Arabidopsis thaliana: one gene and its partner. The protein of the gene in region 1 purifies or fractionates together with the protein of each later gene. This does not show direct contact. Each region holds a gene or a part of one and is shown on either strand. Other genes may lie near its edges.

Region 1 (7,406 bases):
GATCAATTTAATATTTTCAAAACGATCAAGTGCATAACAGCAAATTGTATCCAAGTATCGTCTAACAAATTCTTTTAAGTTCTTTTTTTGACTTTTCATAATCTATAGAACTTTTTCTTTGAAGCTTCTTGATGTAAAATGGTAGGGCGGAAAAAGCTAGGGTGATGTAAAACCAAAACTTGAACCAAAATTCGTGTAGATACGTAACTAGATTTGATTTAAATAAATAAAACATTCGTTATGTGCCTTGGATCCTCTGGCTAACGGGTGACCATAAAGTAGTGTTGCATTCTTTAATTTTGTTTCGCCTTTTGCGTAATGAGAGACCATATTATAAAATAAAGCCTAACTTTACAATATCTGTATTTTTTCCTCGACACTCTTTTTTAAGAGACCAATAGTTTGAATTCATTATCATGCATCTTCCAATCTCATAACTAATTTGGTATGCATGTATAAGTGCTACAATCATTATTATATGGGGTTTCTGATTTTTTGAAGTACAAGAATCAAAATGAATCCAACCTGATTGGTGTAGTTTTGGGTCGAGTTCGGTCGAAACAAAAATTTGATTCGGTATTATTTATTTGATTTTGGTTCGGTTTATTATGGTTGGCACTTGGCATATTGGTTTTGAAAAAAAAAAATGTTATCATGTACGATTTTTTTTGGGTGCAAAAAAGCATCATGTACGATAGTTTTCTACTTTTCTTCAAAGATTGAAAGTAACCGTTGCAATCTCATTGCATTATTAGGCCTACGAGAGGTATCTTCTTTCAAGTGGGCTTTACCATTACACTATTGACCAAGTTTGGGCCACATTTGGTTTGAATAGCCCATAAGAATGTGGTTTTTTTTTTTTAACTAGTCGCAACTTATTATCGTGTATGGTGTGAACTTGATTGATTTTGACAAGCCAAAAAAATCGATTGATAATTAATTGATCTCGACAAAATAAAAATCTAATATCAACACATAAGCTCACCAAGCATGTTTTATTCTTTATTGATCATACAATGTATGTTTGCTGTTATTATTCGGGTTGCAAATAATTTATGTGAATATCAGAACTTCAGAAGTAACTCCTACCAAAAAAGGAACTTGAGAAGTAATCACATATGAATATCGAAGTTACTCTCATCTCAAATTATGCAATGATGGCATTCCATTAAATTACTACTATTGAATTGTACACAAATCCTCCATCACATCAACCAACAAACAAAGAATAATACAAATTAAGAATATATTCCAAAGAAATTGATAAATAGTGATTGTTAGTTGTAACTGTAAACACAAAACCAGAATTCTTAATTATTAATAGAAAAACAAAGGTTTCGAATGGTAACCAAAATGCACCGTGCAATCATACATATAACATTAGTTAGTTATTTTTAGAATATATTGAAAAGATAATTATTGTATAATTACTAAGTATATTCAATTTAAAGTCGTAAGAAAAAACCCTTTATTGGCTCTAATTGTTTAAAAACATATATTAGGATTCACTAAGATGTATAATTGAAATCAATTTCCAAACCATGTAAAAGTACTAGTTTTCTCAAATAGTTTGTTGCTATTAGTTTGTTACTAAAACTAATTCACACATTTTTATCACCAAAAGAGCAAAAATGGACGTGGGATGAATATGATGATATTTTTTTTGACCTTGTTGTAGGGTCTCTCACTCTCTTCTTCCATTAAAGAATTCTCAGAGCTTTTCTTACTTCAACTGTTTTCTTGGCCCATCTCACTGAAATAAGTGTGATAAACTCTGCCTGTTACATTATTTGGATTTTAATAGGTGAAGTAACGGAATATGTAATCTACATCAAAATAATATTCACTTCTATCTCTCTACCTTATGGCATTAGAAAAATCCAATTATTACATGAAAGGAAACTATAGTAATTAGATGAAGCATAGAAGCGACAATTAAAAGACATAAAGAGAGACAAGTCTTGGCAAGTTTTCTCTGTTTCACACTTTGGAGACGAAACCTTAAAGGCTTAAAACTGAGAAAAACAAAGCCGTTGGCTTTTGTAAGCCGCTCGTTCTTCGAGACAAAACACACTACACTCTTTCTCTCTCACTCACTCTTCATCTCTTTTCTTCTTTCTCTCTCTCCTAAAAATCCGACGAAATTATGATTCACTTTACCTTTTAATCAGGAATATCCCTGTTTCACCCTTCTTCTTCTTCTTCTTCTTCTTCTTCCTCGTGTTTTTTTTCCATAACATTCCCTCTGAATCTTCGTTTTTTATTGGAAAGAAACAATCTAATCCAAGTTCAAGGGTTTTCTCATCTTCAGTGGCTGAAGTTATGAGCTTTACAAGATGGGAAGTGTTCTTTGGTCTCTCTGTTTTAGCCTTGACAATGCCTTTCTCAGCTGGAGTTACTAATCTACGAGATGGTAATAATCTTTCTCTGCAAAGTTTTTTTTATTTGGATTTTGCTTTGACTCTCCTTCTTTTGGTTTAGTGAACACTCTAGATTTTTTTTAGACTTGTGTCTAGTGAAAATGACTTACATCAGTTTTAGGGTAAACTAGGTAAGCAATATAGCTGTTTGGGAAGCTCCAGATTGGCAAAGTTCTATGATTTTGAGGCTACCTCAAAAACCCTAAAAAGTTTAGGTTTTTGACACATAAGCTCTTGTTAGGGTTTTAGTTCAAGACCAAGAAATTTGTTCTTATTGTTCTTCATTAAATGGTTATCATAAGAAAGATTCTTTAATCTCTAGAAATTTTACTTTTTGATGTGTTTGTCTGTTGTTTAATAACTTCTGCAGTTTCGGCGATTAATAACTTGTATATCACTTTGGGAGCACCATCTCTACATCATTGGCTTGCTTTTGGAGGAGACCCTTGTGGAGAAAAGTGGCAAGGTGTGGTGTGTGACTCCTCAAACATCACAGAAATGTATACTTCCTCTTCTGCTCTTGTAACTCTTTGTTATGGTTTGCTTTGAGTCACCAATTCAGGTTCTAACCACGTGAATTATTGTTGTTGGCTGCAGAAGGATACCTGGCATGAAGGTAGGTGGAGGCTTAAGTGATACTCTGGCTGATTTTTCATCTATCCAAGTCATGTAAGCAAAGCTTCTTGTCTTGTTTTCTTTCATCTTCATCTTTTGTATGAGGCTTCTTGCTATGTGAAGAACATGCAAGATGTTGTTACCATTGACTATAAGGTTTGGTTATAATCTTGAATTGCTTTGTGATACTTTTTCTCTCTTCTTTGTTTGAGTGGACAGGGACTTCAGTAGCAATCATATTTCAGGGACAATTCCGCAGGCTTTGCCTTCTTCCATCCGAAACCTGTGCGTTTGAGAATTGACTATGTGTATGGCAATACTTATGTTTCCAACAGTTAAAAGACACTTCATGTTTGGTTTCATTTTCTTGTTTCAGATCTCTCTCAAGCAATCGCTTCACTGGGAACATTCCCTTTACATTGTCCTTTCTATCCGATTTGTCTGAACTGTAAGTCTTTATTAATGTAGATACCGTTTCTTGCATCTGCGGTTTTTCCTCTGTTTGAAGCAGACTCTTTCTTTTCCCTTCAGGTCATTGGGAAGCAATCTTCTATCAGGAGAGATACCAGATTACTTTCAGCAGCTATCAAAACTGACAAAACTGTATATTTCCTCCTCACTAAGTCTCATTTTGTATCCTCCCATCAGCGTCTTTCATTTATACATTAAGTTTCTAATGCAGGGACTTATCGTCTAACATACTGGAGGGGCATTTACCTTCTTCCATGGGAGACTTAGCTTCTCTTAAGATATTGTAAGTGCACATATATGAAACCGTATACAAACATTGTTATCATTGCTTTTATATGTGATGTGGTCGGACTGTAGGTATTTGCAGGACAACAAGCTCACAGGAACACTTGATGTTATAGAGGATCTTTTCTTAACCGATTTGTAATCGTTTTTCACCTTGCATACTCTTTGTTCTTGACTCTCCAACCATTAAGCCAACTTCAGTATCTCACTATGGCTTTTCATATTTTTGATTCAGGAATGTAGAAAACAACTTATTCTCGGGACCTATACCGCCAAATCTATTGAAAATTCCAAACTTCAAGTAAGTATTACTAAAAGAAAACTTGAATGTTTTTTTTTTCCTTTTCTTTAGCCATTCATGTTACATTGTCATTATAACCGCAGAAAAGATGGAACTCCGTTCAATACATCGATTATAACACCACCGCCTCCGCCTGTGGTTGATCCTCCTCCCGCTACTCACCGTGCTCCTCCTGTTCCCCGTATCCCTCCTGTTTCTGGTGTTCCCCCAGCACCTTTTGCTCCTTTTGCTCCACTGCAACCACAACAACATCCACCACCATCACCACCTCTGGTCTGGTCACCACCTTCTTCTGATAATGGAGGAGGAGATCCCTGGAACTCTGTGTCAGGGCAACCTACCTTGCAAATATCACCTCCTTCAGGTTCAGGATCAGGAAAATTCTGGTCCACTCAAAGAATCATTCTAGTAGTTTCTTCAGTGGCCATAATTGTTCTTGTATCCGGTTTGTGTGTTACACTTTGGAGATGTTGCAGAAGTAAAATATATAACCGATATTACAGTGGAGCTCGTAAAGATTTACAACGACCATACTTCAATAAGCCTCCATCTCAACCAACCCCCACTATGGGAAAAGGTACACTGATTCTTTTCCTTCCAAGAAAAGAAAAGAAACTTGTGCTTTGGCTCATTACCTAACGGCAAACTGCTGTGGTGTTTTCTTTTGTTGCAGTTTCTCGGGAGCCTATGGTTAAGCCTTTCGATGGATATGGAGCTGGAGACAGGAAATATGGGTATCCAATGCCACAGCGGGCTGAAGAGAGCCGGAGAGCAATGCCTCCTACTTCATATTATAATAAGGATGTTAATACACCTCAAAAGCCGCTGCAACAACCACCGAGGCAGTTCCAGTCCAATGATACTGCTTCAAAGAGAGCGGCTCATTTCCCCCCGGGCTTGAATTCCTCATCTTCTGCTACTGTTTTCACCATTGCTTCACTTCAGCAATACACAAATAATTTCTCAGAAGAGAATATAATCGGGGAAGGGTCGATTGGTAATGTCTACAGAGCTGAGCTTCGTCATGGAAAGGTGTGACACTTTCCTCTTATTTGTCATTTGGTCTTACAGTATTTTATGCTGTGCATTCTTATTTACGTCTTGACACGTTGTGATCTATAGTTTCTTGCGGTGAAGAAGCTGAGCAATACCATCAACAGAACACAGAGTGACGGCGAATTCCTCAATCTAGTCTCCAATGTGTTGAAGCTTAAACGCGGTCATATATTGGAGCTTCTTGGTTACTGTAACGAGTTTGGTCAAAGGTTACTTGTGTATGAGTACTGTCCTAATGGATCACTTCAAGATGCACTACATTTGGATCGCAAGTTGCACAAGAAGCTCACTTGGAATGTACGTATAAATATTGCATTAGGAGCTTCAAAGGCATTGCAGTAAGTTAAAGAACCTCAACATGTTACGCCAATCTATATTTGGAACATATAGGATCTTAGAGTTTGGTTTCAGGTTTCTTCATGAGGTATGTCAACCGCCGGTTGTTCACCAGAATTTCAAGTCTTCCAAGGTTCTTCTTGATGGAAAGCTCTCAGTACGTGTTGCAGACAGCGGTTTGGCTTATATGTTACCACCACGCCCAACGAGTCAGGTAAATTTGTCATCTTATTTTGAAGATCCCAAACATAAGAGTGAGTGTTGTAAAGGATATGATGTTTGCTTATAAAATTGTAGATGGCGGGTTATGCCGCTCCTGAGGTTGAGTATGGAAGCTACACTTGTCAGAGCGACGTATTTAGCCTTGGGGTTGTAATGTTAGAACTGCTCACTGGACGCAGACCATTTGACAGGTTAGCTACTCTAAAGAGACAACTAATAGAAGCCATAAAAGAGTCTGAACTCAAAAGTCAACATGTTCACTTATGTTTCTTATGCAAAATCACTGTACTACACTATCTCAAGACAAAACCCTGTTTTTTTTTGCAGGACAAGGCCGAGGGGACATCAAACACTAGCTCAGTGGGCGATTCCTCGGCTTCATGACATCGATGCGTTGACAAGAATGGTTGATCCGTCATTACACGGAGCGTATCCAATGAAATCATTGTCACGTTTTGCAGATATCATATCACGTTCACTGCAGGTAAACTTAACTTCATTCATCACTTAACTAGATGAGAAAGCAATGTCAAACACGTGACATCAGAATATTAACTAACCCTTTTGACTTCTGTGCATGCTTATCTTTGTCTGTAGATGGAACCAGGATTTAGACCGCCGATATCAGAAATAGTCCAAGATCTTCAACATATGATCTAAGATACACAACCTTGGACTAAGACGCAGAAGCAATAGTTTATTGTCAGATTCTTGTTCTTTGTCCTTTGATGAATGAAAGTATTTCTTTTGTATTATAATAACACTTTATGTATGTTGTTGGCTGTATGAAATGAGCTATGGGATCATCATTATGTAACCCCAATCCCATTACCGGCTCAAACATTATTCACCAACCTGATCATGTATTTAGATTCTATTTTCTGAAAAGGATAAACATTTTTTGAATCAAAAGACATTAAAATTCAAGAACAAAAGGTTGTACTTAACAGTAGTGTAAAAGAGAAGGTAACTTGTTCAACTAGCACTGTAGACAACAAAACCTAAACTTCAAATCAATCTGCTCCACAGAGGGCATGTGATTGATGCTTTAGAGTCGTTTCTCTGAAAGAAAGCTCCCGAAAGCCGTAGTCAAGGCAGTGGATGTCACGAATGAGGCTCTTAGTAAACCTATGGCCTGGATTAGTGTCAGATTCAAAAAAAAATATCAGGAAAGAATAGTAATATAGATATACATGTGTTTTGCCAATGTTGATTTCATGCTCAAAAATATCGTCCAAGTTCACATCAAACTTCTTCTTTACGCAAATAGTAAGATCATCTGAGACAATGTATGTTGCCCCTCTCTTAACTAACCCATTGCTACCATGAGGTGTCGACTGAGAACTACCGTCACTGTTTAAATAACTGACCCCAAGCAACGGTTTCTGCAAACTATATTGCCAAGGAAGCATACATGTGTTAGTAGATGCATCTGTGCCTCCCCTAGAGCTCAAGTCCTTCAAGCTTCTACAAAAGTTGCCAATGCATACTAGGTCGATATTGCTTCCAGTGATTTCCCATACAGACTCCAAAGGGATAGCAAGGAAAATGAAAAGTAGATCCACAAAAAGTCGTGTCCGCTTTCAGCGTCAAGAACCTTCATGTCCTGCTTCCTAGCAAACAGAGTGAGTCCCTGCTTCACCTCCATCTTGCGCGGGTAGCTTTGGCATGTCATGCCAACGTGTCATACCACAAGAGCT
Region 2 (5,102 bases), on another chromosome or scaffold:
GTCGTCGGGAATGTTGTCGTGGTGGTGATGATTGGTCGTACGAAAACATCCGGCGATGCAAAACCTTGATTTGAGTTTCTTTTGTAGAGACAAGTTGGTCATTGTTTCGCTTCCCATTTTTTTTTTACAAAACCAATGTTTGTTGGTTAGATCAACAAAGGAATGCAAAAGAGAAGGAAGACATTGAAAGAAAGATCAAATCTGTATTAGAGGAAAGAAAAACAAAACAGAAAACAAGTGATCGACGAGATATTTGGTTGATTTTCATTTATTATTTTTTCTTGAAATGAACTGTTTAACCAAAACTTCGGAGGAGAAGTTGAAATTCTTTACTATTTTAGGAATATTTGAATTTCCAATTAAAATGAGGTTCAATTTTGTTTCACGTTAAATATTAATGAGTCTTTTGACTTTGTGAGCAAGGGGGGACATATTTAGGGTAGGAAAAATAATATTTATAGTAATTTATTAAATTAGTTAAGATTATAAAGTTAAAAGGATAATATGAAAATTTTGGACCAATTTTGATTTGTGAATATAGTAACGGCATAGCTAAAGCCTAAAAACATTTAATATTAAAAGACCTCATTGGATTTTATTTTCTCGACTGTCACATTTTTGTTTTGGCAGAGGTCTTTTATCCATGTAACTCTATTCAGTATCCACAAACAGTTTTGGAGGATCAATATGGGCCTTAGAAATGAATTAAGATCATACTTCACTAGAGAATGTGCACTCAAAGAATGTGTTGCGAGGTTTCATCGTTAAATTTGCATTAAAGGTAAGGAACTTGAAGATCCCATAGCAAAATTCCATCTCTTTGGTGAAGTCGTTGTCTAGTTGTCACCGAAGCTATAAAGGCATACTTGGAAATCCTTCATTTGAACCAAATTATTTGCTGCCAGGCTGCCAGCAGTGCCTGTCTTGTGAAAAATGAGGCTCAAAATAACTTTTTTTTTATGGGTTTATAGAAGAATTTTTTTTTTTTGAGACCAAATCTTAAAATGTTATGAAAATGAAACCTATGTATTCAATAGAAAATAGATAAAAATTAAAAATTGAGACTAAATCTAAAAAATTTAGAAAATGAGGCAACAAATATTTTTGAGGTATAATTTTGATACTAAAAACCTTAAAACTTTTGGTGGCTCAATACCCATGTTTCTTAGAAATATGTCATGGGCCGGGCCTGACTGCCAGTCAATGGAAGGACCATGAGGGTGTAGATAATGCTATATATTTGAGATTGTAAATATAGCTGATAAACTATATTTACAACGAAAAATATTTAAATTCTGACTTAGTTAATGTAAGTTTAGGCATAATGGAAACTTTTGTTTATAAATACGATAAAATAAGCCGTGGGAAAATCGTTTTCGCACTTTCGCTTTAAACTTTTACTCATAATTGGTTTGAAATTTAAATCAATGAAAAAACTAAGTTAAAACTTTAAATTGCTTCAACCTTAGTTGGTTTTTTGTAAGTTCTTCTTATTTTTTTCTTGTTTATGTTAGATATGATTTTTCATCAATAAAAGTAGACGTTAAAAAAAAAAAATTACAAATCATTTATATAAAATTGTTGCATTTTCGAAAGAATTTTTTTATAGTTTCCATTTGATTTTTGTTTCTAGAAGTGTAATAAGAAAATAAATCCACTTTTAAGTTTTGATGAATTGGATAACCGGTTTGAACGAAACCTGGTTTTGATGAAATTTTTCCCGACACTGTAACACGATAATTAGATTTGTTGAGTTATAACATTACGTGTCGAATTTTAATTGGATGTCCTGCGTGGCCGTCTTATTAGTCACATCACCGCAGCTAATAACACTCGACGAGCGACCTCATCGTCTACATCGCCGTCGCCTGTTACCGTCCGGTGCTATTCTCCTTCACAATCTCACATTTTTCGTACCGGTTAGAAGATGAGAATCACGCAGATCTTGTTATGTCTGGTAATAGTGGCATTGTCTTCAAGCTCCCATGTCTGGTCCGATCAGATCTTCCCAGCTCATCTAGGTCTATATCATTTCCTCTCTTCTCATAATTTTCCGATCAATTTCGAGTTTTGTCTTGATTCAATGTTTTATGTATAGTTGGAACATTCAGCAGAAACAATCGTGAACCAAAGTACAAGATTGAGTTCCTTCCTGAAGATTCACCTTTTCACCCGGTAATAACGCAATCTTAAGATAGATTTCAAAAAGCTTAATTTTTGCACTAATTGAATATTAATAGTAGAGATTCTCTGTGATTTTGGTGTTTGATCTCTAATATTGTTATTAGTCACACTTTAGATAGATTTGAAGCTTACGTTTTCTCTATGACATGATTTACTATGAGTAGAGATAGTTGTAACATAGAGATTGTCACTAACAGGGTTAGAATCTGGAATCTATGGTTATGGTGGATTAGATTAGCTTTTTTAAATCACAATTTAGATTGATTTGAAGCTTATTTTTGCCATGTGACCTGAGTTACAATGATTAGTGATAGTTGTAACATAGAGATCCTCCGTTGTTTTGGTGTTTTTTATTCTCTAATATTGTTGTTTATATGGTGGTAATCTGGAATCTGTGGTTACGATGGATAAGAGTATAGTAGTTTTGAAACTTATTTTGCACTTTGATCTTAAGTTACAATGAGTAGAGATAGTTTTAAGTTAGAGATCCTCTGTGGTTTTGGTGTTTAGATTCTCTAGTATTGTTTTGTATAGGGTGAGAATCTGGAATCTATTGTTATGGTCGATAAGTGTTGGCTTTTTTTTTTATCACAAGCTATTGATTTAAAGCTTATTTTTCACTTTGACATGAGTTACATTGAGTAGAGATAGTTGTAACATAGAGATCCCTCTATGATTTTGGCGTTTTGGTTCGCTAATATTGGCTTTTATAGGGTGATAATCTGGAATCAATGGTTATGTTGGATAAGCATGGAAATCGGTTTTTATGTTACTTACCGAAAGAGGAAAAAGCGACGAGTGGATGGACTTCTAGTCAGCAAAATATTAGTACTGTGATGATGGAAACACAGCAACTGGTGAAGCTAAAGACTCCTGATGAATTGCTTCAACCACTTAGTGAAAAATGTCTTTTTAGGGTAAGCATTTCAAAAATGGTTTCTTTTGACCCTATTTAACAAATTCTTGAAACTAATCCCTCCCTGGATTTGAGCAGCAAGAGGGTTGGTGGTCTTATGAGTTTTGTCATCAGAAGTATGTGCGGCAGCTACACGTTGAGGATGAAAACAAGGTTGGCTTTTATTGGTTCTCTTTTCTTACTCTTCTTTAATCCTTCATTGAATCACAATCTAATGGTATGGCCCTTGTATCCTGCCACTGCAGATTGTTCAAGAGTTTTTTTTGGGTACTTTTGACCCAGAGGCAACTGCGGCGTTTAATCAAACTGTTTCTGATGCTTCAACTGATGCATCTCAGAGGTATAAGCTGAGGTTTTACATAACCTTTATAGCAGCAGAAAGATATATCTCAGCTAATCTGTTATGGTGGTGTGGTTGCAGGTATCACTCTCATGTATACACCAATGGGACCACCTGTGATCTTACAGGATCACCTCGCGAAGTCGAGGTATGTAATCTAGTTTACTACATTGCATTTGGGCTCATTGAATTATGATTCATTATGCTTGAAATTGCTCTATGCAGGTGAGGTTTGTATGCGCAGAAACAAGGGCAATGGTCACTTCAATCACTGAATTATCAACTTGCAAGTACGCACTGACTGTTCAGTGCCCAACCTTGTGCAAGCATCCGTAAGCAAAATCTCATTTACTTGAAAACCAGTTTTCAAAGTGAATTTACTCCTGCTCCATTGAAAGACCATGTCGTAACGGAAACACTAGTGTAACTATATGTTTCATCTTGAATGCTAATTACCAAACACGAGTCACTGCTTTATAAGTAAGCTTATGATCCGTTAGTTTGTTAACCTTGTTCTTGTGGAAATTGAAGGCTGTTCCAGCTAGAGAAACCAGTGTCACACACGATCCACTGCAATGCGATCCCAGTGGAAGAAGACGCAACAAGAAACAAGGAAGAACAAGCAGTAGACGAATCACCTAAGATGATAGCTGATTCTTGAAAACCGCCTAAGTGAATCACCTAAGAGTAAGAGTTAACAGCGACTGTATATACAAGAACTAGCATATCTCCATTTTCAGTGTTACCCGCTGTAGTGATCATGGTTTCAATTGGGATCGCTTGCTGGTAGGATGATGATACTCTCTCTGTAATTTTTTGCATACTTAAAATAGCATTTCAATAGAAGGTACTGATAAACCACTTGTGAAGCAAAGACTGCAAGCTTCATGTAACACATATGTTTCCGTTTCACTAATGAATTTGTTCCAAGTGTAGGCTGATTTTGTGTGTGTTTCTTCTATTTTGGTAAAGTTATATATTTGTAATCGAAGAATATGTTTACAAATTGATATTTAAAGTAAATTTGACAACTAAAAACCTTTGGTTTTTAACAAGTTGAGAAGATAAGAAATAAGAGAGAACGCCTTTTTTTCTGTGTCCAGAACCACTTGACTCCCTAGAGCTGCCTAGTTCAAACAAATGACAAATGTGAAACGCAAATTTCAATTTTTGAGCTTCATTAATGTCATATTGGTATAAACAATAATCATTAGTGATTATCCATCTAGTTTTTGATTTTATTTATATAAGACTTAGCCATTAAAAGTCTTTCTCTCCAAGCTACAAAACTTCATCACCAAATCTTTTGTTTGTATATATATGGTTGTTCGTTGTTAATCATAAGACATAAGATGAAAAGCAAACAATTATTTTTTTTCTCGTCTACTCTCTCACTCTCATATTTCTATTTTTATAATATTTTTTTTTTGCTTATGATTTATAACACGTTATCAGCATGATGTCTTTACCGCTTGAGCGTTTATGAGATAAGTAAAATTTATGGTATTTAATTCGTTTATGTTTATAGAATAGAAATATTTTAGACATCGTGATTCGTAAGACTATGCCTTTTTCCGGATTGATCGTTACAAGTGGTAGGCTCTGCCTCCTTCACGATCAAATAAAATAAAAAAGCTATGTCTTTTCCGGAATTGATCGTTA

What was found.
Region 2: the proteins of SUB (region 1) and OS9 purify together in Arabidopsis thaliana (affinity purification with western blotting, with the first as the bait; one study listed by BioGRID). This does not show direct contact.

Annotation. Positions count from the first base shown.
Region 1 is NC_003070.9:3,720,813-3,728,218, forward strand, and holds SUB (Leucine-rich repeat protein kinase family protein), read left to right. Parts: upstream 1-1,895; 5' UTR 1,896-2,322; coding exon 2,323-2,413; intron 2,414-2,756; exon of another isoform or gene 2,757-2,790; coding exon 2,791-2,920; intron 2,921-3,017; coding exon 3,018-3,089; intron 3,090-3,254; coding exon 3,255-3,320; intron 3,321-3,411; coding exon 3,412-3,483; intron 3,484-3,566; coding exon 3,567-3,638; intron 3,639-3,717; coding exon 3,718-3,789; intron 3,790-3,863; coding exon 3,864-3,929; intron 3,930-4,026; coding exon 4,027-4,092; intron 4,093-4,175; coding exon 4,176-4,669; intron 4,670-4,765; coding exon 4,766-5,124; intron 5,125-5,214; coding exon 5,215-5,486; intron 5,487-5,559; coding exon 5,560-5,698; intron 5,699-5,781; coding exon 5,782-5,897; intron 5,898-6,033; coding exon 6,034-6,190; intron 6,191-6,303; coding exon 6,304-6,366; 3' UTR 6,367-6,638; downstream 6,639-7,406. Other genes in the region: AT1G11145 (hypothetical protein (DUF674)), read right to left, coding at 6,720-6,824, 6,900-7,232, 7,304-7,354. UniProt on the Arabidopsis thaliana protein: Regulates the expression of transcription factors that define the cell fates.
Region 2 is NC_003076.8:13,353,551-13,358,652, reverse strand, and holds OS9 (ER lectin-like protein), read left to right. Parts: upstream 1-1,768; 5' UTR 1,769-1,927; coding exon 1,928-2,021; intron 2,022-2,098; coding exon 2,099-2,175; intron 2,176-2,897; coding exon 2,898-3,101; intron 3,102-3,178; coding exon 3,179-3,253; intron 3,254-3,345; coding exon 3,346-3,440; intron 3,441-3,521; coding exon 3,522-3,588; intron 3,589-3,665; coding exon 3,666-3,772; intron 3,773-3,971; coding exon 3,972-4,101; 3' UTR 4,102-4,497; downstream 4,498-5,102. Other genes in the region: AT5G35090 (uncharacterized protein), read right to left, coding at 1-117. UniProt on the Arabidopsis thaliana protein: Lectin which functions in endoplasmic reticulum (ER) quality control and ER-associated degradation (ERAD).